3 linked regions of the Notamacropus eugenii genome follow. The protein of the gene in region 1 purifies or fractionates together with the protein of each later gene. This does not show direct contact. Links are inferred from orthologs where the notes say so. Each region holds a gene or a part of one and is shown in the gene's direction. Other genes may lie near its edges.

Region 1 (10,001 bases):
TTTTTTTTTAACTATGACCAGGTGGGATTTATTTTTTTCTCCTCCAGATTTATTTATTTATTTGTTTTCAATTAGCAACAGTCACTTCCATAAGTCTTACATTTTTCTTCCCCTTCCTACCACCTCCCTCCCCAAGAAGGCACGCAATATTATAAGGGCTATACACATACATTCTATTAAACACATTTTCACATTAGTCATGTTGCATAGAAAAATTAAAATGAATGGGAGAAAGCATGAGTAAAACTAAACAAACCCTAACATCACGAAAGAGAAAACAGTCTGCTTCATTCTGCATTTTGCCTCGAGTCCTTTGGGAATGTTTTAGGTCCTTGCCTTGCTGTGAAGGCCCAGGCTGTCAGAAGCAGTCCTCACATACTGCAGCTGCTGCGTATAATGTTCTCCTGGTACTACCCACTTAACACCAGTGCACATCAGTCTCTCCAGGCTCTCTTCTGCATAAGGTCTTTTCTGAATTCTCTCCACCTGCTAATGTTCTGCCTCCCAAACTTGCTGTGCGTGTGTGCGTGGAGATATAACTATATTTATGTGTTTATATTTTATGTGTACTTATCTCCCTTTTTAGATAATATAAGCTAATTGAAAAAAGAGATGATTTCATTCTTTGTACTTCGACCCCCACTACCTAAGATGGTGCTGGGCACATAGTAGGTACTTGAAATTTTTTGGTTGGTTAATTTTAAAAGATTTAGTCACGGAAAGGATATTCAGATGTGGTTTTAAAAAACTTTAAATGTACACTGTTCCTGTGGCATTGACCTCATGAAATTTTTGTAGGATTCTAATTAGCCACTATCTAGCCCAAATATTTCAGAGTTATTTGTGATTTTCTGATTTCTTTGTACATGCTGATGATTCTTAACTTTTTTAGGTGTTTCTCCTCCTATGATGATCTGAATTTAAAAAGAAGAACCTCATTTCCCCTTATCAGATCTAAATCTCTTCAGTTAACTGGCAGAGAAGGTAGGCTGTGTGTGTGTGTGTGTGTGTGTGTGTGTGTGTGAAAAAATAGTTTTATATATATTACTGATATGTTTAAGAATCTACTATTTCTAAAGCAGAAAGATCATTAGACATAAAATTAGTTTCTAATTATGATGTATCACTGTCACATCATATTTCATAGCTTAATTATCTTCTCTGACTTTGTCCTGTAAATCCAGAGATTGAGTCAGGAGTTTACTGGCTCACCAGCAGATGTCATCTTTTAGCAGCTTCTAACACATACTTCTTTTGTAGATAGGCAGGTTTAAAATTTCAATAAATGTCATTTTCTTTTTTCCCCCCCAATTCAAATAGTATTTTATTTTTTCCAGTTACTTATAAAGAGTATAAAGAACAAAGTGTACCTAGCCAGGAGCCGAGGTTCTTAGGTTCTAATTGTGGCTTCCATTTAACTAGTCAGGTGATGTTGGCCAACCTATTTAACCTACTGAAACTTCTTTTTCCTCATCTGTAAATTTATTGGTCAGCATCTTATTGGTCCCTTCCAATCCAAAAGTCTATTATCTGTGATATAAATCTGGACGAGTTCTGTACCTTTTTATTGCTTCTTTTCCTGTCCTTCTCAAGGTTATATAAAAATATTAATTGATTATAGTCATGTTATAAATCAGTCCTCCTCGTATGTGCGCATAGCCTAGGTAATTATTAAACTAAATCAATACTTGCCAGACCTTAAAATATAATTTCTTTTGGGGGAAAATATATGAGGATGGACTTTTATGCTGTATCTTCTCTGTTTAATATTTGTGGTTGTTTTTAATAAGGCTTAAGTACTAATTTAGCAAATGCCTACTTTTTAAAATAAGTAGACCAGCTGTTTTTTTTTTCCTTCAGCTTCCAGAACAAAGAGTCAAAAGGGATTTCAGTAAGTCAGGAGAGTCTACTGGGCATTCTTCAGACTGAGAAACAACAGGGCAAAAGTCAGTCATAGGGTAGAATTTTACTTTTCTATTTGTATTTAAACACATATAACAGGATATATAATTAAGTTATGGGATAATCCCTTGTTTTGTGTATTTTAGGCTTTTTTTCTGAGGGTCACATTAGGTACCTTAAGGATGTGAAAGCCTTCCTGCTTGCCCACCTGAACTTAGAAATTGACCTTTTTTGCCATAATTCCAGAAGCAAGTGGAAAAAAATGATATTTATTCACCTTTATAGTGACATCTGTGGCAAATGATAATACTTATAAATTGAAAGATTATGTTTACAGCAAAAGTTGTGTCTGCTTTTTAGACATGATGTGGTTGAAATGGGAATGATAAACTTTCTAAAAAGTTTACATTATTCTGGAACCATTGGATGGAGATTATAATGGTATGGGCCCATCTTGCAATAATGACTTCTATCTCAGAAATATTTAAGCAGGGTAGGGAGGTGGCATAAGGTATAAAGAGTTGGGATTGGAGTCAAGATCTGAGTTTGAATCTTGCCTGTGAGACCCGGCCTAGACAGATCACTTCGATTTGCCTCAGTTTCCTTATCGGTACCATAGAGATAATATTAGCTCCTGCTTCCAAGAGTTGTTGTGAAGTTAAGATGAAATAATATTTATAAAGCACTTTGTAAACTTTGAAGTATTAGCATTAGTTTTATGGTAATTATTGTTGTTACTGTCAAGCAGGGACTAGATAGCCTGACAGGGATGTTGGAGGGGATTCCTAAATGATAAACTTTTCTAAGGAAACTTGCCAGGTCACAGCTAATGAGCAGTGTCTCTGACTCTGAGGAAACCTAAGTGCTTCCTGGTGTCATAGTACGGGTGCGCATTGAGCCACAGATTTCGAAATCGACTGAATTGGAAGCCTTATTTGAAGTTTTTCTTTAGCTCTTTTGTGTGCATGCATGTGTTTGTGTGTGTGTGTTAACAATTTTATGTTATTACAAATAATTTTTTTTTAAACTGTTATGAGCACAAGCAGTGAATTAGATTGCTAAAGATCTTACTAGGTCAAGGCTAAAAACCTTCCTACAATTGTTGTGCAAGATTAGTGACTAATTGCATCTTTGTTAGCTCTCATTTTTATATCTGCTCTTTTTCTCCTTGTAGTAGACCCAGATGATTTATACATCGTAGAACCACTGAAGTTCTCACCAGAAAAAAAGGTAATTTTGCATTTATGGAATACATTTAGTGTATTATGAGTTGGGAGATAAGAAATAGATTCGTATGGTCTTAGATATAAAAATAAGCCAGTTCAATACTACCCATCCCCTCACAAAAATGTGAAATGGAATCTTGTTTTATAGATGATAGACTATGAGAATTAATGTTATTAGTGTGGTTACCCAATCATTATTAATGACAGTTATTTAGCCAGAGATAGCAACTTGTTTAAAATCTGTTATTTTTAAAAGATTAGTGTTATACAAAGTTATACAAAGTTATACATGGTTAACAGTTTATATGCATTCTTGCTTTTCAAATCATTAAACATTTATTAAGTGCCTACTGTGTGCCAGGCACCAGAAGATGGCACTTATCCCACAGTGATTCAGTTCTTCCAGATAAACAACTACCTAATTTTTGAAATTCTAATGCCAGTTTTCTTTTGTGTGTATGTGTTGTAGAAGAAACGCTGCAAATATAAAACTGAAAAAATTGAGACTGTTAAGCCAGCTGACACATCGCATCCTATAGCCAATGGAGACATTAAAGGAAGGAAACCCTTTACGAACCAGAGAGATTTCTCTAATATGGGAGAGGTTTATCACTCTTCTTACAAGGGTCCTCCATCTGAAGGAAGCTCAGAGACCTCCTCACAGTCAGAAGAATCCTATTTCTGTGGCATTTCAGCTTGCACAAGTTTGTGTAATGGACAGACCCAAAAAACAAAAACTGAAAAGAGGGCTTTAAAACGAAGGCGATCTAGAGTTCAAGACCAAGGAAAGTTGATAAAAACACTCATTCAGACTAAGTCAGGTTCAATGCCGAGCCTGCACGACCTCATCAAAGGAAACAAGGAGATCACAGTGGGAACATTTGGTGTCACAGCAGTATCGGGACACATTTAAAACTAGCAGAATTTTTCATACTGGAGACTTTTGTTGTTCTCTGAAGAAGTCTGTGGTATTTGAAGGGGCTGGGGTGGGGGGGCGGGTTAGGGAGGCATTAAAAACTTACGGGAAAAGGATTCAGAAATGATGATTTCTGCCTTTTTAAGTAGATGGGATTGTGTCAATCTTGGTTAACGAGCTGCAGTTTTACAAGGCTAATCACTTCCTACCTGGACAACGGGAGGCATTTTATAAAGATGTTTTTTTCACAGGTTAATTACTGGGGCAAAGGTAATTTGGAAACCCAGTTCCTTGGCTAGAATAGGAATGAAAGCCTAATGCTCTTCCTTCAGCTTTGTTCCTGTTTCTTGCACCTTCCCATATTGATGTGCCTTGTGTCTATTTATAACGCCACTGGAAGATGAGAGAGAAAGAGAAACTTGTTTCTGTCCTCTGATTTCTTTGGTAACGTAAGCTCTTGTGAAGCTGTATACACTACATTGCTCTACAAGGGGCCTGTGCCTGAAGCTCAGCTTGTACATGTGTGTTTGAGCAGTGAAGACCAGATGAGATCTGCCTGGAAGATCTCTGTGTAGCAAACTCACCAAGGAATATGAAAGACTTGCAGGGCCAGAAAGCCTGTTCTCTGAGGGGGGTCGTGATGCTGTTAATGGTGTCTTCATTTACTTGATTTAGAATGAATTCCTTTATCCTTGGAAACTGAATGATATAAGCTTAAAGTGGACCACCTAGGACTTTGCAGATGACCATTATTCCCAAACTAATTCTTTATAGATTTACCTTAAGGATATTTAACTACCATTATGGGTACTCATTGGCTACATTTGAATTCTGACTGTTCACAATGAACACAAATCCTTTGAAACATGCAAAATTTGGTGAAATTGATTTGGCAAAGGAAAAAAAAGCAACTTGTGACCAGGAATAGCGTAAAATGATATTATCTTTGCAGAGTCCAAATGTAAACAGGCATGCCAGGGAGTTTGCCGATCCTTGTCTGAATGGTCAAGATTGAATGAATTATTCCATAATGTGTTTGCTTTAGTATTGGCTACAAATGTGCAGGGTGGGATGTTTGGATGTGTGTGTTTTTTGTCTGTTTTTGTACTTTTCTTTTTTAATTTTGGCAGCAGTTGTATACTTGGATTACACTTATTCCATAGGGGGTGTGAATGTGCAATGGTGAGTGAAGTTGGAGAAAGCATTTTCTTTTTCTTTTTTGTGTTGAGAGGTCTAACAGCATCACGTTCCTTGTAAGGCTGTTTTAACTTATTAAGCACTTTTAGTAGTATCCTTTTTTAAAACAGATCTGATGCCTTTTCTGGGTATTGTATGTAATGTGACTTATTTAAGGCCTTTAAATTTTTTTTTGCTGCTTTCATGTTAGTTTACCAGTACGTTCTGAGAGATGTAATTTTTGTTGGTCAGTCTGTACATTTAGCCATTCACAGCAAGAGGGCCTGAGTTTTATAATAATTACAGTGAATTGAGGTCCAAATTAGAATGAGGTAAGGATGGGAAAATATCATCTGAGTGCAGCATTCAACATTGTGGAAAGAAGATTTATGTAACTACAGAGCTGTAGTGCCATTAGAAACTGTGAATTTCCAAATAAATCTGAACACTTGTCTTTATTAATTTAATGTCTTTAATTTTTTTTTTAAGTTAAACACTCCCAACATTCATTCTACTAACTATTTATATGGATTGTATATAAATGCTTGGTACTAATTTGACTTAATAATTTCAGGTTTTCTATTATTAAGCTAACTTTCTGATTTTCTTTGATCCTTATGTAGTTCTTCTTTCTATACTGGCTTCTCTAGGGACATTTTAAACTCTACATATTTAAGGAGACAATAACTTTATTTAATTCTTAGATATGCTTTTTTTCTGTTATGTTAAATTTTTGGTTACGTGAGTTGAAAGATATTACTTGTTACCAAACATTTAAAATGTGAGAACAACAGAAGAAATTCCAGTAGTATATTATTTGAGTTATAAATCAACACACTCAAGTTTTCCTCTTTCTATGCTTGGTATTTCACTGCTCATAGGACTAGTAAAAGTCAGTGTTATCAATCTACTAGAAAGCCCTATGGGGAACTGGAAAGAGCACTGGCTCAAACAGAGTCAGAGGTCCTTACTTCACATCTAGCTTCCATCGCCATGTGACCTTCAACAGGTCACAGCCTCCCTGAACTTCAGTTCCTTTATAAAATGAAATTGACTTTGATGAATGTCTTCTGAGGACTCTTCTAGTTCTGAATTTATAATTCTGTTAGACTCTCAGAAGTCACTAATGATAAATCACTATTTTGCTTTTTGAAAGTCTATGTGGTTGAATTAGTTGTAAAGATTTAGCTGTACAGTTTTAACAAGTCAGCGCTAATGGCCCTAATAATTTTGGTGACTTTATGTTTCCCTAGTGACACAATCAGGTCATTTACAGGTAAGTGCACCTTGGGACTGGAGCTGAATACCAAACTAAATACCAAATACTGACAATGTTATTTAATTGCAGGTTCGTTTCTTGCCACAGCGAGGCACATGCACATTTAAGGATGCTGGGTTTTTACTTGTAATAGCAAGTCTTTGGGAGTTGCACCTTTTTAAAGGTTCATGCGAACAACCTGGTAGTTTTTTATAATTTCCTAAAGTACTCTGATATTGTTCAATAAAGTGTCAAGTAATCCCTATGGTATTTGAGGATTACAGAATGATTAAACAGCATGTACTGTTTCTTCTATTTTTTTTTTCTTACACTATATAAAGCAACTATACTTGCAGTTCTCAATAGATTAAGGAGATGGAGAATTCAAGAACCAGGACATTATAGGAATTCTAAAGAAATAAATTCTCAGTAATCTTATACTACATTCTCTTCCAGTAGGAAAGTGTGAGTATATTCGTACATCGATATATACATTCATAATACTTCTTAGATAGCATGATCCATTAACCATTAATGGGGGATAGCCTTTGAGGAGTCAATGTTTTACAGCATTTACATAAAACAGAAGAATTGTTCTTTCTTAAGGCCTTGAAGCGTAACTGAAAAAAGAGAAACTTAAAGATTCTGCTACTGTGGTCACCTGCCCACCCCTGCTTTAAACAAAATTAGTGGGAGAAACAGCCACCATCAATACCAAACACTAAGCTCCTTCTACAGAACTTTGAAAATATATCTAAAGTCAGTAGGAGGAGGGCTTGAGGGGTTTGATGACTTCTGCTTGGCTACAGGGAAATTTACTGAGAGAAGAAAAACAACTATCACTCATACTTACTTGTTTAGGGTTATTATTTAAGGAGAATGAGGCAGGAAAGAATAGGACCTCAGAGTTGAAAGACATATCATCAACTGTCTGTCCTTTCTCTATCAAGATATCTACCAAAAATCCCTCCAAACGATACTGGATAAGTGCCCATTTAGCTTTTGTTTGAAGACCTCCCATGAGGGAGAACCCACTTTTTCCCCAGAATGCCTTTTTCACTTTTGGATAACTTTTTAATGTAAACATTAATTTTCAAATTAAAAAGAATTTTTTTTTTTTAAGAAATTCTTACCTATATTTGCCTCCTTGAAGCTTGCCCTTTAGGACCAAACAAAGTAGGTCTAATCTCAGACAGTTATTCTGTTCCTCATTGACAGTTCAGGTTAAACATCTCCAGTTCCATCCATGATTCTCATATGACATAAACTTAAAACCCTTATACTGTTTTTCTTCCCCTGGTGCTTCACAATATTTACTAAAATGCAACACGCACAACTGAACTCTATATTAAGGCAGAAGATGGTAGGACTTTCACCTCTTAATTCTAGGAAGAGCCATGCCTTTCTCTAGATGCAATTTAATTTTACCTTTTGGTTGCCATGTTCCACTGTTGACTTATTGAATGTTCAGTCCACTGAAATACTTAGATCTTCAAACAAGTTTGCTGTCTGACCATCCACCTTGGCCCCCACCCTAATCTTGTTCCTAGGAACTCTCTCTCTCTCTCTCTCTCTCTCTCTCTCTCTCTCTCTCTCTCTCTCTCTCTCTCCCTCCCCCTCCCTCTCTCCCTCCCCCTCCCTCTCTCTCTCTCTCCCTCTTCCTCTCTCTCTCTCTCTCTCTCTCTCTCCCCCTCCCTCTCTCTCTCTCTCCCCCTCCCTCTCTCTCTCTCTCCCTCTTCCTCTCTCTCTCTCCATACACACACACACACACACACATACATATGTATGTATATATGTATATATGTATATACATATGGCATTGCATTTATATTCCTATTAAATTTCATTTACTATATTCAGCTCAGTATTCTAGCTTGTATACTTTCTTTTGAACCCTAACTTATTATCCAGTGTTAGTGAAACTTTAAGCTTTGTTTTTTGTATCTCTAAGCTTTTTTACTTTAAGCTTTGTATCATTTAATAAAGACCCCTTGTATGCCTTTATCCAAGTTATTGATAAAAATGTAAGTGTGCATGACCCTCTATCCTTAACAGAGGACTATGCACAAATCCCAGAGTCACTCCAATGGAAATCTTCCAAGTTAGTATCAAACTATTAGTGAGTACTCTTTAGGTTGTGCCATTTAATCAGTTCTTAATCCATCAAGTTGTACCTTCATTAAACCACATCTTTCCATTTTCTCCCGCCTCTCCTCCTCCTCCACAAAAATAGCTTGATAGACTTTTTCAAATATTTTATTAAAATCTAGGTAAACCTTATCAACAGCAGCACCTTGCTTTATTAATCTAGACTCCAAGAAATCTATTTTAAAAAATAAACTAAGTTTGGCACAATCCTTCTTGAGGAAGCTATGCTGGCCTTTTGTCATCCTTATCTAAATGTTCACTATCAGTGCGTTCCAGAGTTTTGTCAGAAATGTAGAAGTCAAGTTCTTTGGCTACAGTATGCAGGTTCCCATTTCCTTCCCTTTCTCAACAATTTGGACATTTGCCCTTGCCCCATCTCCTATTGTGCCATATTTTGCAGGTGTCACTGACCCTAGTCAACAGTTAGATATCAGTTTTTAGTCTTAGTCATTTGGAATAGGTGATTTGAACTCATAAAGGGCAACAACATTATCTCTTTCTTTCTCCACCCTTGGCTTTGATTTCAACTTCCTATTAGCATTTTTGTTCTGTGCCTTCCAGTCAGTTCAAGTAGATGCTTTGGCTCTTCTTTGATTCTCAGTTTTTCCTTATTATGACTGAGAATGACAATAACAAACCCTTTTTGCTGACCTTAGTTATCTATCAGCCTTAGCTCATTTTGACCTTTATTGAAAGATCAGAATTTCCAAGTTGGAAAGGACTTAAGCAATCAACACATCCAATCCCCACTACAATTTACATGGTTTGGTCATTCATCTTTGGCTTAAAGATTTCTCTTGAGGGGAAACCTTCAGCATCTCAAGATAGCCCCTTCCATTTTTTGAGCTTCTCTCATTGTTAGGAAGATATTCTTGCCATCCTAAATTTTTTCCCTTTGCAACTTCTACCCATTCATTGATCCTTATTTGGTCCTCTTGGGCCAAAGGGAACAAATCCTTCCTCATGATGGCCCTTCAATCACAGTTACTATGTTCACATTAGTCTTCTCTTTTAGTAGTTCAGTGCAGCCTATGGACCTCATATCAGCATCTTTTTAAATGCATAAATAAAATATGTAATATTATTAAGGAATTACATATTGAAGTAGATTTAACAGGTTTTGTGTTTTAAGTTCACAAACCCCAGGTCAAGAAACTGTTCTAGACATTACCAAGTTTATCAGTGTCCTGCCCAGAACAGCATAACACTCCAAATGTCTGATAAAAGGAGAATCACTTCCATATTCCAGGAAGCAGTGACGATCTTTCAATATCAAAATGCTGACCCTTTGAATGCACCAAAAGCACCAGCACTTTTTCAAAGTTTCATCCAACTCTCCCTACGAGATATCTTGTATTCGTGAAGTTGAGTTTTT
Region 2 (10,413 bases), on another chromosome or scaffold:
ATTTCTGAGAATCCAGAGATCCCACGGAAGGATGTAACCCTTTTTGTCAGAGATAGAAAGATAGTTCCCATATATACCAAGTATTTATTATGTCACTTTTTTTTGTGTTGGCAAAAAACTACAAAAAGGTGGAAAACATTCTAAACAAACCATGGTCTATGAAAATAATAGAATATTTCTGAATTCAGAGAGTCATGGGAAGAGTTGTAGGAAGGTATTCCAGACTGGATTCAGTAAGCAAAACCAGGCAAAGAGTATACACCCAATGATGACCAGGATGGAAATGAAAAGTATATGAATGAACTTGAACACTGTGTAACCCTGATCAGCCTTGGCTGAGGAATAGAGATGAGGCAATGTATCTATCCCGTTTACCTGGAGAGGTGGTAGAGGTGGGTGTGGCTGTAGCAGCTGCTGCCAGATGTGGCCACTGTGTCAGCCTGACTTTTTCTTTGGTACTAGAGAAGGCTCCCTGGAATCATAGGCATCAATAAAACTTAAAAATAAGAGTTTACATTTTTAATTAAAAATTAATTTAAAAGAATTAATTGAAAGAATTAATTTTAAAAGAAAAATATTATTTTTAAAGTAAGAGAAAGAGGAGGGGGAGGGAGAGAGAGAGAGAGAGGAATTTCTGGCTTCCCTGAAGGCCTTAGCTTATGGGACACCTCCTACTAGCCTCTCCTGGTCTTTCACTTTGCCACTTTGTTCTCCTCTCCTCAGATAATCATGTATCTATGTCTCTCTTTATATGTTGTATCTCCATAGAGTAGAATGTCCCTCAGGCAGAGGCTACTTTTCTTTGTGTCTGTATCCCTAGGCCCAACACAGTACCTTCACATTATAGACAATAAATACTTCTTGGATTTGATTGGAATTCAGGTTAGTAAAGATCCCACTGCTAGTGAATGCAGAGTTAGCATGAGAAGCTAAGTCTCCTGGCATCCAATCCACAACCCTTTGTACAACACTGAACACATACTTTCTAACTCTTATAATGGAGAACCAGGAGAAAAATGTAATAATGAAATGTAAAAAAACCGAAAAATTTTGAAAGACTTGAGAACTCTGACCAACATAATCATGATTCCTGAGGATGGATGATGAAGAAGAATGCTACCCACTTCCTGCCAGAATGGTGATCGACTCAAGATGCAGAACAAGACACACATTTTTGGACACAGCCAATATGGGAATTTGTCTTACATGACTGTTCATGTTTGTTATATGGGGGGTTTTCTTTTCCTTCTTTTTTTATTTCAGTAGGTGAAGGTGGCAGGAGAGATTCAAGAAATCCTTGTTAATTGAAAAAAATAAAATTTAATTAAAAAGATAACTGCTGGTGGGTGATAGATTTTGAGAGGAGGTAGAGCTCATTCAACCCATTCCTTGCCCTACAAAAAAACCCCATAATGGTGTCACAAAGTCAGACACAACTGAAACGACTGAACAATAAAAAAAAAACACCTAACTCATACAGGGGCAAATGATTTTATGTCCATTCCTGAGTATGACATCAACTGGTGGCCTCCCCTTTCTTGTTAGCATTCATGGTGGACACCATCTTGATTTTTCAAGTACTTCTTGTATAGGTGAGTAACTACAAGCAGTCAGAGGAAGCCCATGTTGGTGGAGGAAGGGTTACTGATTGTCTCACCTGCCGATGCAGACTCCTACAACTTCAACTCAAATATTTATTAAATAATGTGTGTAGAGCATGGTACCAGCTAGTGGGGGAGATCCGAGGTTTAGAGAAGACAGAACCTGCCCTCAGAGCTTTGGGTCTCAAGGGAAGATAGCAAGAATACAAAACATCAACTGTGTAAGAAAGATGTGAACTGACTGCTTTTCAAAGGTTAAGCTATGGTTGAAGTCATTATTGACTGAAAGGATTGAGGAAATCTTCATGAACCAAGTGATATTTGAGGCAGTCTTAAAGGAAAGGTAGGATTTTAACACATGGAGATGGGAGATAGAGGGAAAATGGTCACTATTTCATTGATAGGGACCAGACCTGCTCCAGATAAGATGGCAGTACCATAGGCAGTCAGAAGTAATGTAAGATTACATATAACTTGGAGTTGGTAGTAATCTTGTAGGGTATCTAGTCCAACTCTCATTTTATGCATGAAGAAACTAAAACTTGAGGGGACACAATGTCTAGCATGGCACAATGGGTAGCATGCCAGGAAGACTTATCCTTGTGAGTTCAAACTTGGCTTCAGACACTTACTAGCTGTGTCACCCTGGGCACGTCACTTAACCCTGTTTGCCTCTGTTTCCTCATCTGTAAAATGGCAAACCACTCCAGTATCTTTGCCAAGAAAACACCAAAAAGGGGTCATGAAGAGTCAGATATGACTGAAAAATGACTGAACAACAACAAAAAACAACTTGAGAATTTAAATTCTATGTCCAGGGTCTCACAAATAGGGTCACAGATGTAGAGCTGGGAAGGTGCTCTTATTTGATAGATGGGGAAACTGAGGCCCCGAGGGTTTAAATGATTTTTCCAAGGTCTTACTGGTAGTGAGTGGCAGAATGGCAATTTAACCTAGGCCCTTTCCTTTCAAATCCTGCATTCTCCACCAGGCCACACTACTTCCTGAAGCAGGAAGAAGTAAGCAGGAAAAGTAAGGGGAAGGGACAAATTGTGGAGGCCTTTCTATGGAGTCTGGCAACAAGGAGCTCCTGCAGGTCCCTAGGGTGGGGAAGGATGTGAGCTGATCTACACCAAAGGCAGTTTGATCTGCTAAATGTACAAAGAATGGATTCGGGGTAGCTATGTGGTGCAGTGGGTACAGCACTGGCCCTGGAGTCAGGAGGATCTGAGTTCAAATTTGGCTTACTGTGTGAGTCACTTAACCCTGATTACCTCCAAAAAAAAAAAAAGCATTCAAATTGGGTGAGTGGAGAGGGAGGGAGAGACCTGTGAGGATGCAGTCCAGGCAGGTGGTGATACTATCAGGTGGTATCTACTGTGAAGTTGCTATGGGAATGTTAAGTAAGGGACAGATTTGGAAGATTCCATAACACTACACTGATGCCCCTTTGGGCTGAAGCAAGAGATGTCTGTTGAATTTTACTGATGATGTACTTGCTCCAAACTATGAAAACTGTAGCTGTCCGGGACTCCCCGTGTGTGTTATCTCACCAAACTGAAACTCTTGTGGCAGAGGTTCTCCAAGGCTTTCTCCAATCTGTGCCCACCTTATCTTTTCATCGTTCTATCTGACTACCCTTCTATCTATAGCTAACATTGAGGAGCTGGAGGCTGGGCCTCCTGAGGGTACTCCCTCCAGTCTTCTTTCATGCTGTGTTGACCAAGAACATTGTGTCCTCCCCATCCCACAAAGTGTTTCAGATGGAAGGGCCCTTAGGGAACATTTTGGTCCTCAGATCTAGCCTAATCCTTCATGTTACAGAAGACTGAACATCTGAAAGATTAGATAGATGACTTGTCCTCGACCCAGTTTTAAGAAGCAGCAGAGCCAAGATCTGGCCCTGGGCCTTGCTCCAAAGCCCCGAGCAGGTCCACCATCCTATGGAGTTTCCTCCCACTGTCCTGACCTTTTCTGAAATCCAAGTATAGTCCTAACTAATGGAGACTTGAACTACCTTTGTGCAGCTCCTTTGCCAAACCAGATTGAGGGTTCCCTGAGGCAAGGGAGATATTTGCTCCTCCTGGGTTTCTCACCTAGCTCTACACACAGATGATAGTCAATAAAGGCTTGTTGATTGATTGGTTAATAGGTCATCACCAGTCCAAACTGAATAACTTGCAGAACCATGATTGAAATACCAAGTTTTTTCCATAACCCTAACAAATCAATTCAGCAAACATTCAACATCTGCTACATCCAAGAAATTGGCTGTGCTAGGTGGCTGGGGATAGAAAGGCAAAAAATAATTCAGCTTAACATGTAGAGGATTCAAGACATTCTGGAGTTTACTTTGCACAGAAAGAAAATAACAGGTACACAGATAATCAATCTGTAAGCAAATCTTTATTAAGTGTCTACTAAGAACAAAGCAATTTCTGGAGGAAGAAGGAGTTGTCACTATTTTTATTTAATGTAATAATACATGGAAAGTTCACAGGATTTGAAGTCAGAGGACCTGAGTTCAGATTGTGCCCCTGTCACTTGCTACATTGTGACCTTGTCACAATTATGTCACAACCTCAATGGGGTCTCAGTTTCCTTAACTATAAAATGAGGGGTTTGGACCAGATTGCTTCTAAGGTCTCTTCCAGGTCTAAGTTTACGATTCTGAAGGGCTGCTCCAAGCATGGCACCTCCTCTCCACCCTTACTCAGTAAACTCCAGTGGCTCCCAAACATCTCCAAGATCAAATAGAAAATCCTCTGGCATTTAAAGCCTTTCCTAGCCTGGTCCTTCCTCCACCTCTCCAATCTTCTTATACTTACCCCACTCCATATATTTTGTGACACTGGCCTCTGGGTATTTCCTCAGCCATTACATTTCCTCTCTGGGCTCTAGGCATTCTCACTGGCTCTTCCCAATGTCTGGAAGTCTAGCCCTCCTCCTCTCTGCTCTCCAGGGTCCCTGGCTTCCTTGAGGTCTCATCCCAAGTCCCACTTTCTGCACAGAGCCTTGCCTGGCTGGCCTTCGCCTTGCCTTCCCTCTGTTGATTATTTCTTATTTATCCTGACTATTGTTTTGGCACATAGTTGTTTGCATGTGAGATCCCTGAGAACAGGGACAGTCTTTTGCCTTTCTTTGTATCCCCAGGACTTAGCACAGGGCCTGGCACATAGTAGGTGAGCAATAACGTTTGTTGACTGACATAAATAGATACAGAGAAGCCCGGATTTGGGCTGAGAGGAGTTATATACTTGCCAACTGAGCAATCTTAGTCAAGTAACTAAGACATTTTTCTTATCTGTAAAGGGAGGATTGGAGTGGGTGACTTCTTAAATCTATGGCCTTGTGGTATAGTATAGTTCAGTGGCCAGAGACCCCAGTCTTGGAGTTGGAGTTTTTGGGTTCAAATCCTGACTAACGATTATTATCTTGGACAACTCATTTAAAGGGAGGGAGATGGCCTAGAGGTCATCTTCCAGGTCTAAGTCTGTGCCTTTATATGACATAAAAGGAGTACTGGATTTGGACTGAGAAGCCATGGATAGAAATCCTAACCATTCCCTGTGTGGTTGTGATGAAGTCATCAAGCTTCTTAATTCCTCCAACTGTAAAATGAAAGGGTTGGAGTAGATAGCCTGACAGATCTAAACGCTGGCAGCGTGGTTCAGAGGCCATCGAAATCCCACCCGTGGGACTCTGGGCAAGTCACTTTGCCAGCGAATAACATAGTGCTAGGCACTCAGCAAGTACTTAAATGCTTGTTGCCGCTTTTTGTTCACCTCTTTGGGTCTCGGTTTCCTTATTTGTAAAATACAGAAGTTGGACTCGCTGGGTACTGGGGACCTTTTCAGCTTACTTTGATTCCATTACAGACACCTATAATGCAGTTTCTTTCCTCTCTGCCATCATTCCCCTGTCCTCCATCCCCTCCTCTGGAAAGCCAGGAGGCAGTGGCTACCCCGACTCCCACCCCCACGGCCCTCTCCTCTGAGGCTGCCTCTAGAGGGCGCCCGGGAGGCCGATTTGGCTGCCCTCGGTTTGCCTGCTCCCGACGCTTCGCTCCCGAGCTTAGCAAACTTTCCGAGTTTCTCCTCCTCTTGCGTCATGGAAAAGGTTGGAGGGTGATCGGGAGAGTAGGAGGCGAGAAGCCGTGCGAACTCCCCTGACCTACCGGCCCAGACCCAGGACCGGTGTGGGTGTGTGGGCTACTACTCTGCGAGAGCCTGGGAAGACCGGACTGGGCATATCGGCCTAGGGAGCCCAGGCAGACGGACACCTCCTCCACGCCGGCAGCGCCGACCCGCCGGGGCTCGAGCTGCCTGCTGCCCTCCCGAGGCGTTTGCAGCTGCTCTAAGTTGCGCCGAGGAAGGGATCGGCTTCCCGCGGGGCAACCGGGGCCAGGGCTCCGGCCCCTTTTTCGCCACTCCCAGACCGTCGAACCCCAGCTCCTGTTTCTCCCTCCACCACTTAGTATCCTTCCCGGAGCGGGTCCCCGAGTCCTCGGCCTCGGCGAGGGAGAGAGTGCGGGCGTGCTTGGGGGTGTTTGCGGGTGGGCGGCTACAAGATGGAGTGAAGGGAGCCCCAGTGCCGGCCGCGCGCCCAGAGGGTTGCGAGCGCAGGTGGGCAGCTGAGTTGGGGCCACCCTGCTCCCCCGGCGCTGCGCCGGGGACTGCCTCCCTCCCTCTCCTTGCCATCCCTCAGTCCAAACGGAAGTGCCTCTGTTTTTGCTGAACTCCTCTGGCGGCTTTCTCTCCTCTGCCCTCCCTGCGAGTCTCCCTCCCTTCATCCATCCTTCTCTCCCTCCCTTCCTCTCCAATCATCCCTCCCCCTCTGGACACAAGAACCCGGAATTGCATTTTTTTAAAGCTAGCTTCTTGTAGTCGTTGCAAAGTGGATTGTTGGGGTGCCTCTCATTCCTGGGAAAAGGTTTGCCGATCACTGCCCAGCAGGGACTCGGAGAGGAGCCGACAGAATCACACCTCGTTCCCAACTCTTCTGCCTTTTTTTGAGAAATACCACTCTGTGTGTGTCTGCGTGTTTGTGAGTGTGGAATTTGCGTTTTGTTCCCCTCCGAGCGGATTTGGCGGAGAGTCCTTGTGCCCACTGTTGTTGGTGGTGGGTGAGTTGGTTGGTGTTTTAATGATTGATTTTATCCGGGACTTTCCTCTGAGTACTTTGGTCTGGCTCCCAAGTTCCTGGCTCTTTGCGTCGAGTCAGTTTCAGGCGGGTGGAAACTGACCAAGAATTAAGCAAACAAAAGATTCCAAAAGAATCCAGCTGAGGGGTTCCTCCAGTACCTTTTTGATTCCTCCCAGCCTCCCTCCGAAGGCAGGGAGGAGGTGTTTTTTTTTTTGGTGGGGGTAGTGGTGTGTGGAGAGGGAGGACAAGTGTTCAAGCCAAGGGTTCAGGGACCCAAAGGAACTTCCCCAAGACCCTCCTTTTTCTCTGGATCCAGGTTTGCTGCATGGTCTGTTTTGATCTGAAAGTTCACGTGAATTTTCCCGAGGTCTTGTGTAAGCCTTGGATTGTTGTTGTGTTTTTTTTTCCTCCGGATCTTGTTGGGAAGCCGGAGGGAGGCGTCCACTCTTGGATTTATTTCAGCCTTGTTAGGTTTTCCTTTTACCCCTCTTGGGCTTTTTGGAATTTTTTTAAGCCCAATTCCTAAGACGAGGAAAGGAAGAAAGAAAGCAAAAAATGCTTAAGATACTCCCCACTAGAAAACCAACCATTGAGTAGCTTTTGGAGGGAGTTAACTGTTAGTTACTTTTCATTTTAAACTATTTTTTTTCTTGGGGCACTGTTCTCACTTAAAGTACATTCTTTGCCTTCTTGGCCCTTGTTTTACAGTGCTGGTATCTAGGTGTGATTTTTTTTTTCCCTTTTGGGAGGCTTAGGGTGGAAAGAGATGTAAAATTGCAGCCCAGAACAGGCTGTGGGAAAACAGGAGGCCAGATGGAGACTGTGAGATGAGTACCTAAGAGGTGATGGTATCCTGGCAGGACCTCCTTCTCTGGCCTGTGTTGTCACCTAGGACCAAACCAGAGTCGTATGGGAGCAGACTGTTTGATCCCCTCTCTGGGCTATGTCACTTTCCACCAAGGGAGTGAGAACTGTGTGGAATGCAAGGGCCACACTCGAACTTCTGGCCTGTGTTGAGAGTAAAGGCACAAGCTTGTGGATCCTTGGTGACTGTGTGTGTGTGTTTCTGGATGTGCATGTCAGAAGGCCCTGTCCCTACTTAAGTTTACTTGGGGTCTGAGCTGCACCCTCTTCCCTTTTGCCTTTCCCTTAGACTTTCCTTCCCTATCAAAAAACCCAACCCCAGCCATGGCATTGAAAGGCCGAGCACTTTATGACTTCCAGAGTGAAAACAAAGAGGAGATCAGCATCCAGCAAGATGAAGAGCTGGTGGTCTTCAGTGAGACCTCCTTGGATGGATGGCTGCAGGGGAAGAACAGCCGGGGGGAGACTGGACTCTTCCCTGCCTCCTATGTGGAGATCGTCCGATGTCGTTCTGACTCCAACTATACAGATTATTCAAACAGTCCAGCTAGCTCTCCCAGCAATGAGACTTCTTTCTACGTTGCCCCTGTGGTCAACACGGGCGTCATGTCTCACCAGGGCAGCTTTGAAGATGATGATGAAGACTGGGATGATTGGGATGATGGGGGCACCGTGGTGGAGGAACCACGGGGTGTTGGGCTGGGTACCAATGGGCACCCCCCTCTCAACTTGTCCTATCCTGGTGCCTACCCCAACCAACATATTAGTTTCCGGCCCAAGCCACCCCTAGAGCGCCAGGACAGCACTGCCTCTGGCAAGCGGGGTAGTGTGGTTGGGCGCAATCTGAACCGCTTCTCCTGCTTTGTCCGCTCAGGCGTGGAGGCCTTCATCCTGGGTGACGTTCCCATGATGGCCAAGATTGCTGAGGCCTACTACATTGAAATGGGTCCCAAAGGTCCTCAGTGGAAGGCCAGCCCCCACCCCTTTGCTTGTTCCGTGGAAGACCCCACCAAACAGACCAAGTTCAAGGGCATCAAAAGCTACATCTCCTATAAACTCACACCCAGCCACGTGGGCTCGCCCGTCTATAGGCGCTACAAGCACTTTGACTGGCTCTACAACCGGCTGCTACACAAGTTCACGGTGATCTCGGTGCCTCACCTGCCTGAGAAGCAGGCCACAGGCCGTTTTGAAGAGGACTTTATTGAGAAGCGCAAGCGCAGGCTGATCCTCTGGATGGATCACATGACTAGCCATCCTGTGCTATCCCAGTATGAGGGCTTCCAGCACTTCCTGAGCTGCCTGGATGACAAGCAGTGGAAGATGGGCAAGCGGCGGGCGGAGAAGGATGAGATGGTGGGGGCCAGCTTCCTCCTGACTTTCCAGATCCCCACTGAGCACCAGGACCTCCAGGATGTGGAGGATCGAGTGGATGCCTTCAAGGCCTTCAGCAAGAAGATGGACGACAGTGTGCTGCAGCTCACCAACGTGGCCTCGGAGCTTGTGCGCAAGCACATCGGTGGCTTCCGCAAGGAGTTCCAGAAGCTGGGCAATGCCTTCCAGGCCATCAGCTACTCCTTCCAGCTGGACCCCCCCTACAGCTCGGATGCCCTCAACAATGCCATCTCCCACACGGGCAAGACCTACGAGACTGTGGGCGAGATGTTTGCTGAGCAGCCCAGGAATGACCTCTTCCAGATGCTAGACCGCCTTTCCCTGTACCAGGGCTTGCTCTCCAACTTTCCTGACATCATCCACCTGCAGAAAGGTAAGACCTAGGCTGGGGCTAGCCCCAAGGGGCTCAGGGAAGGACGGAGGGCAGGGGAGCCCCTTTGCCTTTTTAATAACAATGCCCCACATCTTCCAGCTGGCCAAAACTCTTTTCTTTTCAAGACTTCTGTTTGATAGCTTCATATCATTCTTGCAGCACCCCTGTGGGATAAAGGATCATTATCCCCATTTGACAAAAAAGGAAACTGAGGTCTAGAGAGATAAATGACAAAAGTTATACAACTAGTCAGGAGCAGAGCCAAGACTAGGACCCAAGGCTCCTAACTCGCCCCCAGGCTTCTTTCCATTACCCTCCTTCTGCCCCTTTTGTATTTTCTATGGGGATGCCAGTCCATAATGAACCCCTGGGGTTAGAAACACTGGCTGCCTATTTTTGGAACTAAAAGGGAAACTTAAAGATCATTTGATCCTCATTTTATGGATGAGGGAAACTGAGGCCTAGAGAGCATTAAGTGACTTGCTCTAACTACTAAATAACAGAGTAGGATTTGAACCCAGATATTCTGCTACATCAAAATGCTTTAAAAAAATAAACAACCAACAACAAACCATTCTTTTTACCAGGGTCTGTTCCCAGGAAATAAGTGAAGGTGTAGACAAGGAACAGACAGGAAGTGATTCACTCCAGGTTACATTGTGGAGCCCAGGGTGAGTCAGGGAAGGAGACTAGGAGTCCCGGCTCTCACCTGGGAGCTCTTTGTATCCTGTGATCATCCAGCCTCCTCCTTTCCTCTTGTCTTTCTTCTCTTGACCCTTTACCTCTACCTTGTCCTTTTCCTCCTCCCCCTGGCTGAGTCACTGACTGTTGCCTGAGCAGGCAGCCATACTGTCAGGATCTCTGGCATGGGTCCATCTCTGCCCAGTGCCTCCCAGTCCATGATCTTGGGGTGATAGGACCCCATTGGAAGAACTTCATTGAGCACAAGAGGATGAGAGACTGCTGCTTCTTCCTGGGACTGAGAGGGGTCACTAAGGGAATAAAGGAAGGAAGGCACAGGGCTCAGGGAGGTCT
Region 3 (10,736 bases), about 220 Mb from region 1:
TTTTCTGCTTTACATTACTTGAAGGGAAAATACTTTAAAACATCATTTTGGTTTGTCATTTTCCACATACTAAAGTACCTGAAAATTTCAGGAAATAAGTATCACTAATGCAGATGGCTGTGGATTTGTTGGTTGTTTGGGGGTTTTCTGCTTTGTTTTGTTTTTTAGGGGGAGGAATCCAGCCCTGTGATTTCATTAGCACATGGAAACCTCCTCCATCCATGTAGACAGTCAGATCATCTGTCATGTGTAGTCTTCAGGAATGGCTGGGGCAAGGGAAGCTTAAGTAGTTTGCCCAAAGTCTGAATACTGTGTTTCAGAAACAAAACTTGAACCCAGGTCTTTTGATGCCAGGGATACCCCCGATACAGTACTCTACTCTTTTCTTTCTTTTTGTAGTCTGCTTATATAAAGTCTCCTTTCTCTTTTTTATGTTTAGTTTTTTCCTAGCTTAGTCTACTTCCTCCTCATCTGGAAGGGGCAGTCTGTGAACTATTAAGTGCCTGCTATGTGCCAAGCAAAGAGAAAGACAAAAAAACAGACTTTGCCCTCAAGGATTCCCCAGTCCTATGGGGGAGATAAGGAGCAAACAGTTGTGAGCAAACTACAGGATAAGTTGGAGATAATGTCCGAGGGAAGGCACTAAGATTTAAGAAGGATTGGGAAAACCTTTTTGCCAAAGATGAGACTTTAACTGAAACTTGAAAGAAGCTCAGAGTTGGAGACTTGGGGAGAGAGTTCCAGACGTGGGGGACAGCCAGTGAAAACATTCTCAGTTAAGAGATGGGGTGTCATGAGGAACCACAAGGAGGATGTTGTCACTTGATGACACAGTGGCCTGAAAGCAGGAAGATCTGAGTTTAAACTAGCCCTAGATACTTACTAGCTCTGTGACCCTGAGCTAGTCACTTAATCCCTGGTGCCTCAGTTTCCTCAACTGTAAAATGGTGATAATAGTAGCACCTGCTTTTCAGGGGTTATTGTGAGAATCAAATGATATATTAGTAAAGCACTTAGCATGGTGCCCAGCACATAGTATGAGCTATGTAAATGCATTTTCCCTTCCCCTTCCCACCCCCAGAATGGGCATGATTGAGGTTTGAGAAGATTGGAATGTAGGAAAGGAAGGGACCAAGCTTGGGGAAATGGCCTCCTTCTCTAGTGGTTTGTTTGGCTATCCACCCCTCTTCTGGGCTTACTGGGATCAGTACTGGAGGCTGATTTTCCCTTTTGTTTTTAGACCCTCCCTGCACATGCTAGATTCTTTCATGAAGTATTGATTTTAAAGACCATTTTGCTGATGTGTGAGATCCACTTTGTTCTTTACTTGTCATTGAGTTAGTGGTAGTCATGTCTCTGAGACTTTAAAACCAGAGAGTAAATATTTTATAGTAAATGGAGTAAGAGATCCTGCAGAATTCAAACAGTGTCATATGAGTCTGAGTCATCTGAAATCGTTAAACCCAAGGACCTCTTCCAAGAAAACCCTGCCTTTAAAAAAAAAGGTTTTAGTCCTTTATAACAGTATTACTCCCTACCCCTTGTAATTTTTGAGCATTTACAAGACTATTTAAAATCAAGATGAGCTGCTTTTTAGGAGATTAAGAGAACTTCTAAGATGCTTTTCAAGTACATTTCAAGTAATAACATTGTTTAGAAGTGAAATAGCAGAAAACTGGATGTCCAGAAGCCTGGGTTCTGCCGATCATTGGCATTGTCTACAAAGTGACTTGAATGCAGCAGGGCACATTGCTATGCACCTAGGAGGGTGTGCATACAACACTCAATGTTTTTGCCTCAAAAAATGAATTTGTTGGATGTTGAGAATCAAAGGGTATTCTCAAATGAAAGAGGTTTAACTCTTTTTCACACTACATACAGTATTTTCAGTAATCTAGAAATTTTCTACTGACCATTTTGAAAGCCTCTAGGCTGATCTCTAAGTAGATTTCTTCTAGACGATATTAATAATAGCTAACATTTATATAGTGCTTTGCAACAACAAGCCTTTATTATTTTTAAATATTTTAATTTTTTTCCAGTTTACATGTAAAAAAAATTTTAACTTTAGTTTTTAAAATTTTTGAGTTCCAAATTATCCTTCTCCTTTTCCTCCTCCCTCATTTAGGAGGCAAGCCGTTTGCTATAGGTTATGCACATGCAGTCATGCAAAACTTTTCCATATTAGTTATCTTACAACAAGCATTTAACTAAGCACCCTGTGTCAGATCCTGGTAAGGCTTTAAATTTTTTGAAGCCCTTTACATTTGTTATCTCATTTGTTCCATGCCAGCTACCTTATAGGGGTAGAATCCTCATTGTACAGAAGAGAAAACTGAGAATAACAGGATTTAAGTGACATGTCCAGGATCACACAGCTTGTCCTAGGCTGGATTTTAACCCAGGTCTTCCTGACTCCCAAGGCCCAGAATCCACTGCACCACCTAACTGCAACAACCCTAATTCAAAATAAAGAGTATATCAAGTCATTTTAGTTTTGTTTTCCTTTTTTCTTCTTTTGATCTAAACAGTCCAGAAAAGTTTTCAAATATATTCTAGTAGGCTAGAATTTCTGCTGGAATCAATAGGTGCTCCCAGTAAATATCAATACAGGTCTGTCTCATTTTCCACAATAGATCCATGTTCCTGAAAAAGATATATAAAAATAAAATAATAATACATTCACTGGGGGACATTGCCATTTAAAAGGATTTTATTTTTAGTTACAGATTAGCACATAATCACCATGCTAGTTGAATGGGTTTGGGTTTTGTAGAAAATATAGCTTTTTATATTTTATTTGCTTTAAGTTTCAGCACTATAAACTATTCCTAAAATTTATTTTAATTTTAGAATTTTATTTTTTATTCTTAATTTAATGCATGCTAAGTAAAATGAGCATTTCCATAGCACAAAACCATAAGCATTATGTACAGCTAGTTTTTCTTTTAAAATATATAAATTTAGTATGTAACTGTCAAAGCTGTTTTGCTTTTCTGTAATTATTTTTCTAGGCTTATGGTCTCTTCTGTGTAATTTTTAAAAAATGTTGAAGTGCCCTTTTTCCTTTTTCTTTTTTGGAAGCTGCCTTCTTCCTTCCTTCCTTTGTATTCCCCCCCATAAAAAAAGATGAAACAAATGAAACCCTTTTAATAAGTATGCGTAATCAAGCAAAACAAATTCCCATATTGACCATGTTTGAAAATGTATCTCCTATTCCAAATAGAGTCCATCACATCTCTGGAAGGAGATGGGAAGCTTGCATCATTGGTTCCCTGGAAATGTGGTTGTTGCATTGATCAGAGGAAACTGATTAATTTTAATTTCCTCTCTTCCTTCCCCTGTAGGTTCAGGGCATTAATGCTAGTCAGAAATGAAATAGCCAATGTTTGACAAAGTTAGTCAGTGTAAAGGACACATCATTTGTGGATTGGAAAAATTATATCTCCATAATTGAGTTGGACTATATCCATAGTCACATACAAAGATCCAACCCAGAAATCTTTATGATGGGAGGTTCAGTGTTCAGGCAACAAAGATAGGTAGCTAGTGTCAGAATTATTTGTGTCTGGATAAGAGAAAATAGGGGAAAGATTATTAAAAACTTCCTGGAGATTTGGTCTGTTTTGGGTGTTTATTTTAAACTTCCATCTTTCTGTGTCTTTTGACTCTAGACAGATGCTTTTGGCAGTCTTTAGGACTGTATTTTGTTTTTATTTTGTGTGGGTTTCCATTAGATTATTGATTTTCATAACACCAGGGGAGAGTTTCAAGTGACTAGCCTTGTTGTACAGCTACAGAGAACCAAAATAGAGTCAGAAATGAGATGAGGGGTTAGGGAAAATGTATGGAGAAAATGCTGGATTTAAATTGGGGAAGACAAATCCAGGTGTAGATCCCACTTAAAGTAATAGGTGTAGAATCCTGGGCAAATCACTTACCCTCTCTTTGTCCTGGTTTCTTTATCTGTAAAACGGGAGTGTTTAAAAAAAGTACCTAAGTCACAAGGTTACTGTGAGGGTCAAGTGACATAATTATATACTTAGGTTATATGACATAACATATATTGTGTTATGTAACATATAGTAGTTTTTTTTATTCCTTGGAGATTGGTCTATATTCTCATTTGATTTGCTCAAAAGTTTTAAAATAAAAATGAATCTGATAAATGAAGCAGTCACTGTTTCAGGATGTTAAGGAAAAGACTGTCAAATCTGTCTTTAATATTCATTTAAAGTCTTGATGTAGAAACTATTGTTTTTGATGTTCGGCTATAGATTGTTGAATGACAACCAAGTAGAAGGGTTCTTGAACTCTTAAAAAATAAATACAAATTCATTTCAAGGTCACTGATGGTGCAGGACTGCAAGTATGTGGCAAAGTATGAGCTGAATTCCAATCTCCCTAATCTATTTGGTCCCACAACATACTTGCAAGTCAGTTACCTAAATTTACTAGAAGTAGAAATAATAATAACAGCTAATATTTATATATTCTAGGCACTGTGCTAAGCACTCTGCAATTTTTATATCATTTGGTCAATCGTGGGAGGTAGGTGTTATTGTTATCCCCATTTTACAGATGAGGAAGCTGAAACAGAGGTTAATTAGCTTGCTCAGGCTCACAGCTGGTGAGAGGTCCAATTTGAACTCAGATCTCGCTGACTCCAGAACCAGTACTCCATCCGCTGTGCTTGCTGCTAGTGGGATATAATTAAGTAGCTTTTGGAACTCAATGAGCAATGTATACAGGTAGAAACAATCATTTTCCAATAGGACAATAACCGCCAGTAACCATTGGGCCATTTGGGGGAGGGGAAGAAATTACCTTATTTGGAAATGCTTAGGTCCTAATTACTTCTTATGGATCCCACAACTATTTGAGGAGTTCACTTAGTACAAAATTCTTTGGTTGACCAAAGAGTAACATGCCTACCTCTTCTTACTTATAGAATTATCATAAGTAATAATAATACACTGTCCTCTAGAGAGAATGATAATTCTGACTCACCCATTAGTGGAGCACATGATAGCGTTTTTACAGTAGCTAGAGTATATTGCCCTGTCCTGTAACTAATGTCACAGGTTTACGGTATAAGAGGAATGATATAGTGGGTTTCCCCTAGGCTAGGTTGACCACTCATCATGAATGTTGTATATTAGGGTATCTTAACCTTTCGAGTGTGTCATTGATCCCTTCTCATGTTTATTATTTGTGTGTTCATTATTTGTTTATTATTTGTGTGTTTAAAAACCACACAAAATGAAGTACATTGGGGGTTACCAAGGAAACTAGTTACATTAAAATAGTCATCAAAATATTTTTCAAAAAGTTTCCCAGACCCTGGGTTAAGACCAGAAGGAATTCTTTTTCAGTCATGTGTTTTGGCTGCTCTGAGATTCCAGCCCTCTGTTTCTGATCTAGTACTTTTTTTCCCTTTGAATTACACCAATTTTTTTCTCTGTAAAGTTGTTTTTTTAACTGACAAAAATTAAATTTGAGGTCTTAATTCACTTAAGCACTTAACACATGAGTTCAAGGGGTGCTGTGAAAGAAACTGTGGCCTTCTCTAAAAACAGCCGCATTTGACTATCATCTGGCTACCGAGAACAAATGTTTTGACTGGTTTTTTTTTGTAATTACTGCTCCTGGTACATAGACACACAGCCTCAGTAAGTAAAATGTGTGTAGACTGTTGGATTATTGAGACATCAAAAAACCTTAAAGAGATTACAAATAAGTATTCTGCTTTTCTGAATGGAATGGTGCATTGTGAAAGCAGCCGGGTATGATTAAACTTCCTAAATCCTTGATAATTCTCAGAATAGCATGCTGAAACAATGAGAACCGTGTCAGAATGTTCTCTAAGACTTATAAGAGATGGCATCACACCATGACTTTGAATTTTGAGAATCAATGAATCCTTTTTATTCCTTTTTCCTACACCACTGAATATTTAATATAGAAAATAAAAGCAATTACCCAGAATTTCCTGTAGCTGTCAGCCTTATTTTTTAATCCTTGGCAGATTGCAACCCCTTTGTGATTCTATACCTTATGAATCCTTGTCCATATAATTAGTCCTCCATTGAAGGTTTACTTATAGAATAAGAAGAAAGTCTTCTTATGCTATAAATCCAAAAAATTCATTATCCTTAGGATCTGTCATTTGTCTCATTTTATGTAATCTCTCCCCCACTTTTTTATCTTGTCATACATTTCCTCATTAATGACTTTTAGACCATATTGCAATCTTCTACTACCTACCATGTGTTCTATTGAATAATTAGGTGAATGAAAGTAAAAACATTTATTTAGGGCTAACTGTTCCAGGCAGTTCTAAAAATGCTGTACATACAAATAAAAAAAGAGTCCCTGCCTTCAAAAAGCTTAGATTCTAATAAGAGAATGTTCTTATACTTACGTCATAATAAGAGAACATGCTTTCTTGTAGTTGTTTTATGGGAATGGTGGCCAGAGAAGGGTATTTTGGGCTGAGAATATATGGAGTAAATCCGTAGGGCAATTGATTGGTCTGTCCTTTCCAACTAATTTAATTACTGTTCCTAAAGCTAGAGGTGAAAGGAGATGTGGGGAAAGGGACACTGAGAAGGCGTACTCACCAGTCAGCATGCAGGGTTCCAGGATGGGAGCTGGAGAACCAGGGCAGGGACAGGAGATATTGCATGAAGAAGGTCTGAAAGCAGCAGCAAGGTATGTCAGGGGCAGGCTAGTTAGGGAGAATGCTCTCCCCAATCTGAGTGCAGGGGCTCAGGGAGGGATACTGGACAGCTGTCTTTTGCTCTTTACCTTATTTGCTATTTTAATTCCTGTCCTATCTAACAGTTGAAGCCATATTGTATTGTTTAGTGAACATTTTATTAACCGTGGTCTTTTACAGCAGTGAAAAGTTTGAGATTGTTGAAAGCGTTGCAGTTTCCCAAGTAAGATATGGACTGGTCTCTATGTTTTTCATCAACTTTGGCCTGTTCCATCACCCTGGAAAACTGATGTTTCACTTCAGTGATGTGGATATTAACTGTTGGTGCTGAGTACAACCTATCCATATTCATTCAGCTAAGTGAATAGGCCTTTAAAAAAAAAGTATTTAGATACTGCATCTTGGGATAGCATAGAGATACTATTCACAGATGAATACTGTGCTCTTTCTGTGGCTTTATTTGTGCTAGAACTGGAACCATGGAGTTTAATGGTGATAGGCACCTTACTGTTCATTGCATTCAAGTGAATATTCTAGTAATGAGTTCTTGAAACTTGACTTTGTGGAGGTATGAAGGGAATAGGCAGATATGTTTCTTCCTGACATCCTCAATTCTGCCTCTGTGCTGGTCAGCATTTATCAGTGATTCAGGTGAAGCCATAAGGATAGTCCTGCACAGTGGATAGAGAACCCACCCCAGAAGTAGGAAAGGCCTATGTTCAGGATCTGCCTCTGATACAGTATTGGCTGTGTGACCCTTGGTTGGTCACTTAACATCTCTGTGCTTTGGGTAACTCCCTAAGGTTCTTGGAGTACAGAGAAGATGTCAGTCTTGCTTTGGTAGAGACAGTTTCCTCATTTGGGTTATTCTCTCTATCAGTGAAACCCCAAGTCCAGCACCTGCCTTCATCTATAGAAAGTGTGCTTATCAGATTTGCAGGTGATATTCAGCTGGGATATAGCTAACACATCAGAGGAGAATTGGGATTCAACAAGTTCTCATTAGGATGAACTAATAGACCTGATCTAATTACAGAAAATTAATGTAGACACATGTAAAGTTGAGACAGGCAAGGACCCAGATGACTTGGAGGTCATTTTATACAATCTCTCTTCATGAGGATTATTGAAAGGACGTGGGAACAATTAGCTTGGAGAGTTTAGGTGACTGAAGCTTTGAAAGCCCTTCATGTAGAAGAGGGATTAGAGTCCTTTCACTTTGCTCTAGAGGTCAGGCCAAAGCAGATTTCAGCCTCATGCTGAGCAGTTTCACCCTGGAAGGACAGACTTCTCAGCAGTTCCAAGCTGTCCACAAATGGTCTTGACATCATCATCATCCGAATCATTAACATTTATGTAGAGTTTTACATATATCGAGATGATGCCATATAAATAGAGCTTTGGGGTTTACAACGTGATTTACAAATATTATTTTATCCTCACAAGGCTGGGAAGTAGATGCTATTGTCCCCATTTTATAGAGGAGGAAATTGTGGCAGACATAGAGGGTCACTCAGCCAGTGTCTGAAGCCGTATTTGAGCTCAGATCTTTCTGACTTCAGGTCCTGCACCATCTAGCTGCCTCCCCATAAAAATAATGCTTTATTAAGGAACTGGGAATGTTTAGCCTAGAAAAGAGAAGATTGAGGGCTCATGGGATAAGCATGTTCAGGGATCTAAAGGACTGTTTTGTGGAGGAGAGATATACATCTCTTAGCTCCAAAGAGCAAAAAATAGGAACAAAGGGTAAAAACTCACAAGGCACCTTTAGGCTTGATGCAAAGAAAAATTGCATGGCAATGAAAGCTTTCCTACAGCAGAATGGACTTCCTTAGAATGTGGTGGGTTTTCCCTCATTGGAGATCTTCAGACAGTAGTAGCTGGAGAGACCACTTGTTGGGTATGTTGTAAAGGATGTATTTTTTTAGGACTTGATGACCATAGACTTCCTTTTAAAATCTGTGATTCTGGTTTCATATCAGATTTATCCCAGAACATGAAGTATTTTCTTGGAAGAGGTTACTGGTAGAAGTTTTTAGAAGTTGTAACTTTTTGTGGTCACCAGAGTTCTGTTAACTGAATTAGTATCTTCATGTTAATGGCCTGAAAGAATTAAGGGTATATCTCCAAATCCCTTCATGTCTTCCAAAACAGAAGCCAACATTCTGGGTAAACCTGGCTCAGTAAAATTGTATGTTTTAAATTGTTCATGTCAATAATAATCTTTCATATTTATAAAGTACTTTAAGGTTTGCAAAGAGTTCTTGCTTACAGAGGTGCTGGCAGGCAGACCTACAGGACAAGTCTTATTTAGGCCCATTTTCCATATGAGGAAACTGAGGTTCTGCAGAATTAAGTGTCTTGCCCATTATCACACATTGCCATTGTAAGTGTCTCAGGTGGAAATTGAACTTGGATTTCCTAACTCTGGGTTCTCCCTGTGCTCCCCCTGTGGTGTTTGGATGGCATCATCACTTCGGGGAAACTGCAGTAGAATCCTCTTGTTACCCCTGAAGCACTTGCAGTGGAAGGTGGGCTCAGTGTTGTTCACTGTAGAAGGACTTGTTATTAGGATGTAGTCCTATCTCCTAGGGCTGTCAGACTGTTCAGATGAGTACAAAAAGTTATCTAAATAACAACTGCTGCTGCTATTATTGTTATTATCTGTCTCACAGCCAGAGAGGCTTATTTACCACGGTCGTCCGTAGTGTGGACGCTCCACCAAGTGCTGTGGGGAAGTTGCTGGGAGATACGTTGGAACTATCCACCACTTGCTGGTAGATCTCTCAGTGTGAGTGTGATTGTAACAGAAGCATCTGACAGCTGTGCAGACTGAATGGAGGTGTGTGCTCCAAGTGAAAGAGGCCATGGGATCCTGGATTTGGAGCAGAGTAATACGGGACCTGAGGGATCACTTAGTTCAACTCCCTTTTTTACAGATGAGGAATTGAGGCTCAGGAGAGAGTAAGCAGCTGGCCCAGAGCAAATCAGGCAGTTAGCATTTATTAAGCACCTACTGTGTGCCAGTGCTGTGCCACACACCATACTAAGCTCTATGGATAGACACAGAGAAAGGCAAAAAATAGAGAAAGGCTCCTGCTCTGAAGGGGCAGGTCTGATGAGGGAGACCACATGCATTGAGACAGGATAAATCAGAGATGCTCAGCTGAGGGTAGGCACTAGCCTGAAATAAGAGAAGGGTTTCTGGTAGAAGGTAGGATCATAGCTGGGACCTGAGGGGACCTGGAAGGCAATGGTGAGGAGGGAGAGCATTCCAGGCATGTGGGACAGCCAGAGAAAATGCCTGAAGCCAAGAGAAGGGAGTGTTGGGCTAGGAACACAAAGGCCAGCATCACTAGATCTCCGAGTAAATGAGATTAGTAAAGTGTTAAGACTGGCAAGGTCGGAAGGCTCCAGGTTGTGAAGAACTTTGAACACTAAATAAACAGAGGGTTTTATATGTGATACTAGAGATAATAGGGAACCATTGAAGTTTGATGAATGGGAGAGTGACATTCTCACATAATAGCCAGGAGTCTGAGACAGAATTTAAACCAAAGTCTTACCAACTCCCAGGTCCAGGACTCTAGGCACATTTGGCCATGCTAACTGTAAACTCTTCCTTTGCTATAGAAACTCCTCTACCCTTTTTTTCAGCATGCTTCCACAGTAATATAGTTAATGGAGTTGGAGGGTAAGCATTTAAATTCCTTAGATTAAAAAATTCTTTTTGAAAATGGGAGATTATACCTTCTACAACTAGGGAAAAAATTTTTAATCAGTTATAATATAGAGGAAATCATAGAAGGCAAAATAGACTTAATAATATAAAAATAAAATGCTTTTGCACAAGTAAACTGCAGCGAGAGCAAGATGAAAAGATTCAGGGAGAAATCTTCTTTAAATATATCTCATAAAAATCTGAGCTTCAGAATCTATAGGAAATTTACACAAGTTAAAAAAAGAAATACAAACTATCAGTAACTGTTAAAAAGTGTTCAAAATGACCAGCAAT

What was found.
Region 2: the proteins of FASLG (region 1) and SNX33 purify together in Homo sapiens (co-immunoprecipitation; 3 studies listed by BioGRID and IntAct, counting the BioPlex papers as one, with this or other methods). This does not show direct contact. The link is inferred for Notamacropus eugenii from reciprocal best matches to the Homo sapiens genes FASLG and SNX33.
Region 3: the proteins of FASLG (region 1) and SNX9 purify together in Homo sapiens (co-immunoprecipitation; 3 studies listed by BioGRID and IntAct, with this or other methods). This does not show direct contact. The link is inferred for Notamacropus eugenii from reciprocal best matches to the Homo sapiens genes FASLG and SNX9.

The regions. Positions count from the first base shown.
Region 1 is NC_092873.1:473,684,273-473,694,273, reverse strand, and holds the start of FASLG (tumor necrosis factor ligand superfamily member 6), read left to right. Parts: upstream 1-5,810; 5' UTR 5,811-10,001. Other genes in the region: SUCO (SUN domain-containing ossification factor), read left to right, coding at 893-984, 3,077-3,132, 3,598-4,041. UniProt on the Homo sapiens protein: Cytokine that binds to TNFRSF6/FAS, a receptor that transduces the apoptotic signal into cells. Involved in cytotoxic T-cell-mediated apoptosis, natural killer cell-mediated apoptosis and in T-cell development.
Region 2 is NC_092872.1:240,221,034-240,231,446, reverse strand, and holds the start of SNX33 (sorting nexin-33), read left to right. Parts: upstream 1-5,683; 5' UTR 5,684-7,934; coding exon 7,935-9,378; intron 9,379-10,413. UniProt on the Homo sapiens protein: Plays a role in the reorganization of the cytoskeleton, endocytosis and cellular vesicle trafficking via its interactions with membranes, WASL, DNM1 and DNM2. Acts both during interphase and at the end of mitotic cell divisions.
Region 3 is NC_092873.1:251,468,087-251,478,822, forward strand, and holds the start of SNX9 (sorting nexin-9), read left to right. Parts: upstream 1-6,466; 5' UTR 6,467-6,631; coding exon 6,632-6,714; intron 6,715-10,736. UniProt on the Homo sapiens protein: Involved in endocytosis and intracellular vesicle trafficking, both during interphase and at the end of mitosis. Required for efficient progress through mitosis and cytokinesis. Required for normal formation of the cleavage furrow at the end of mitosis.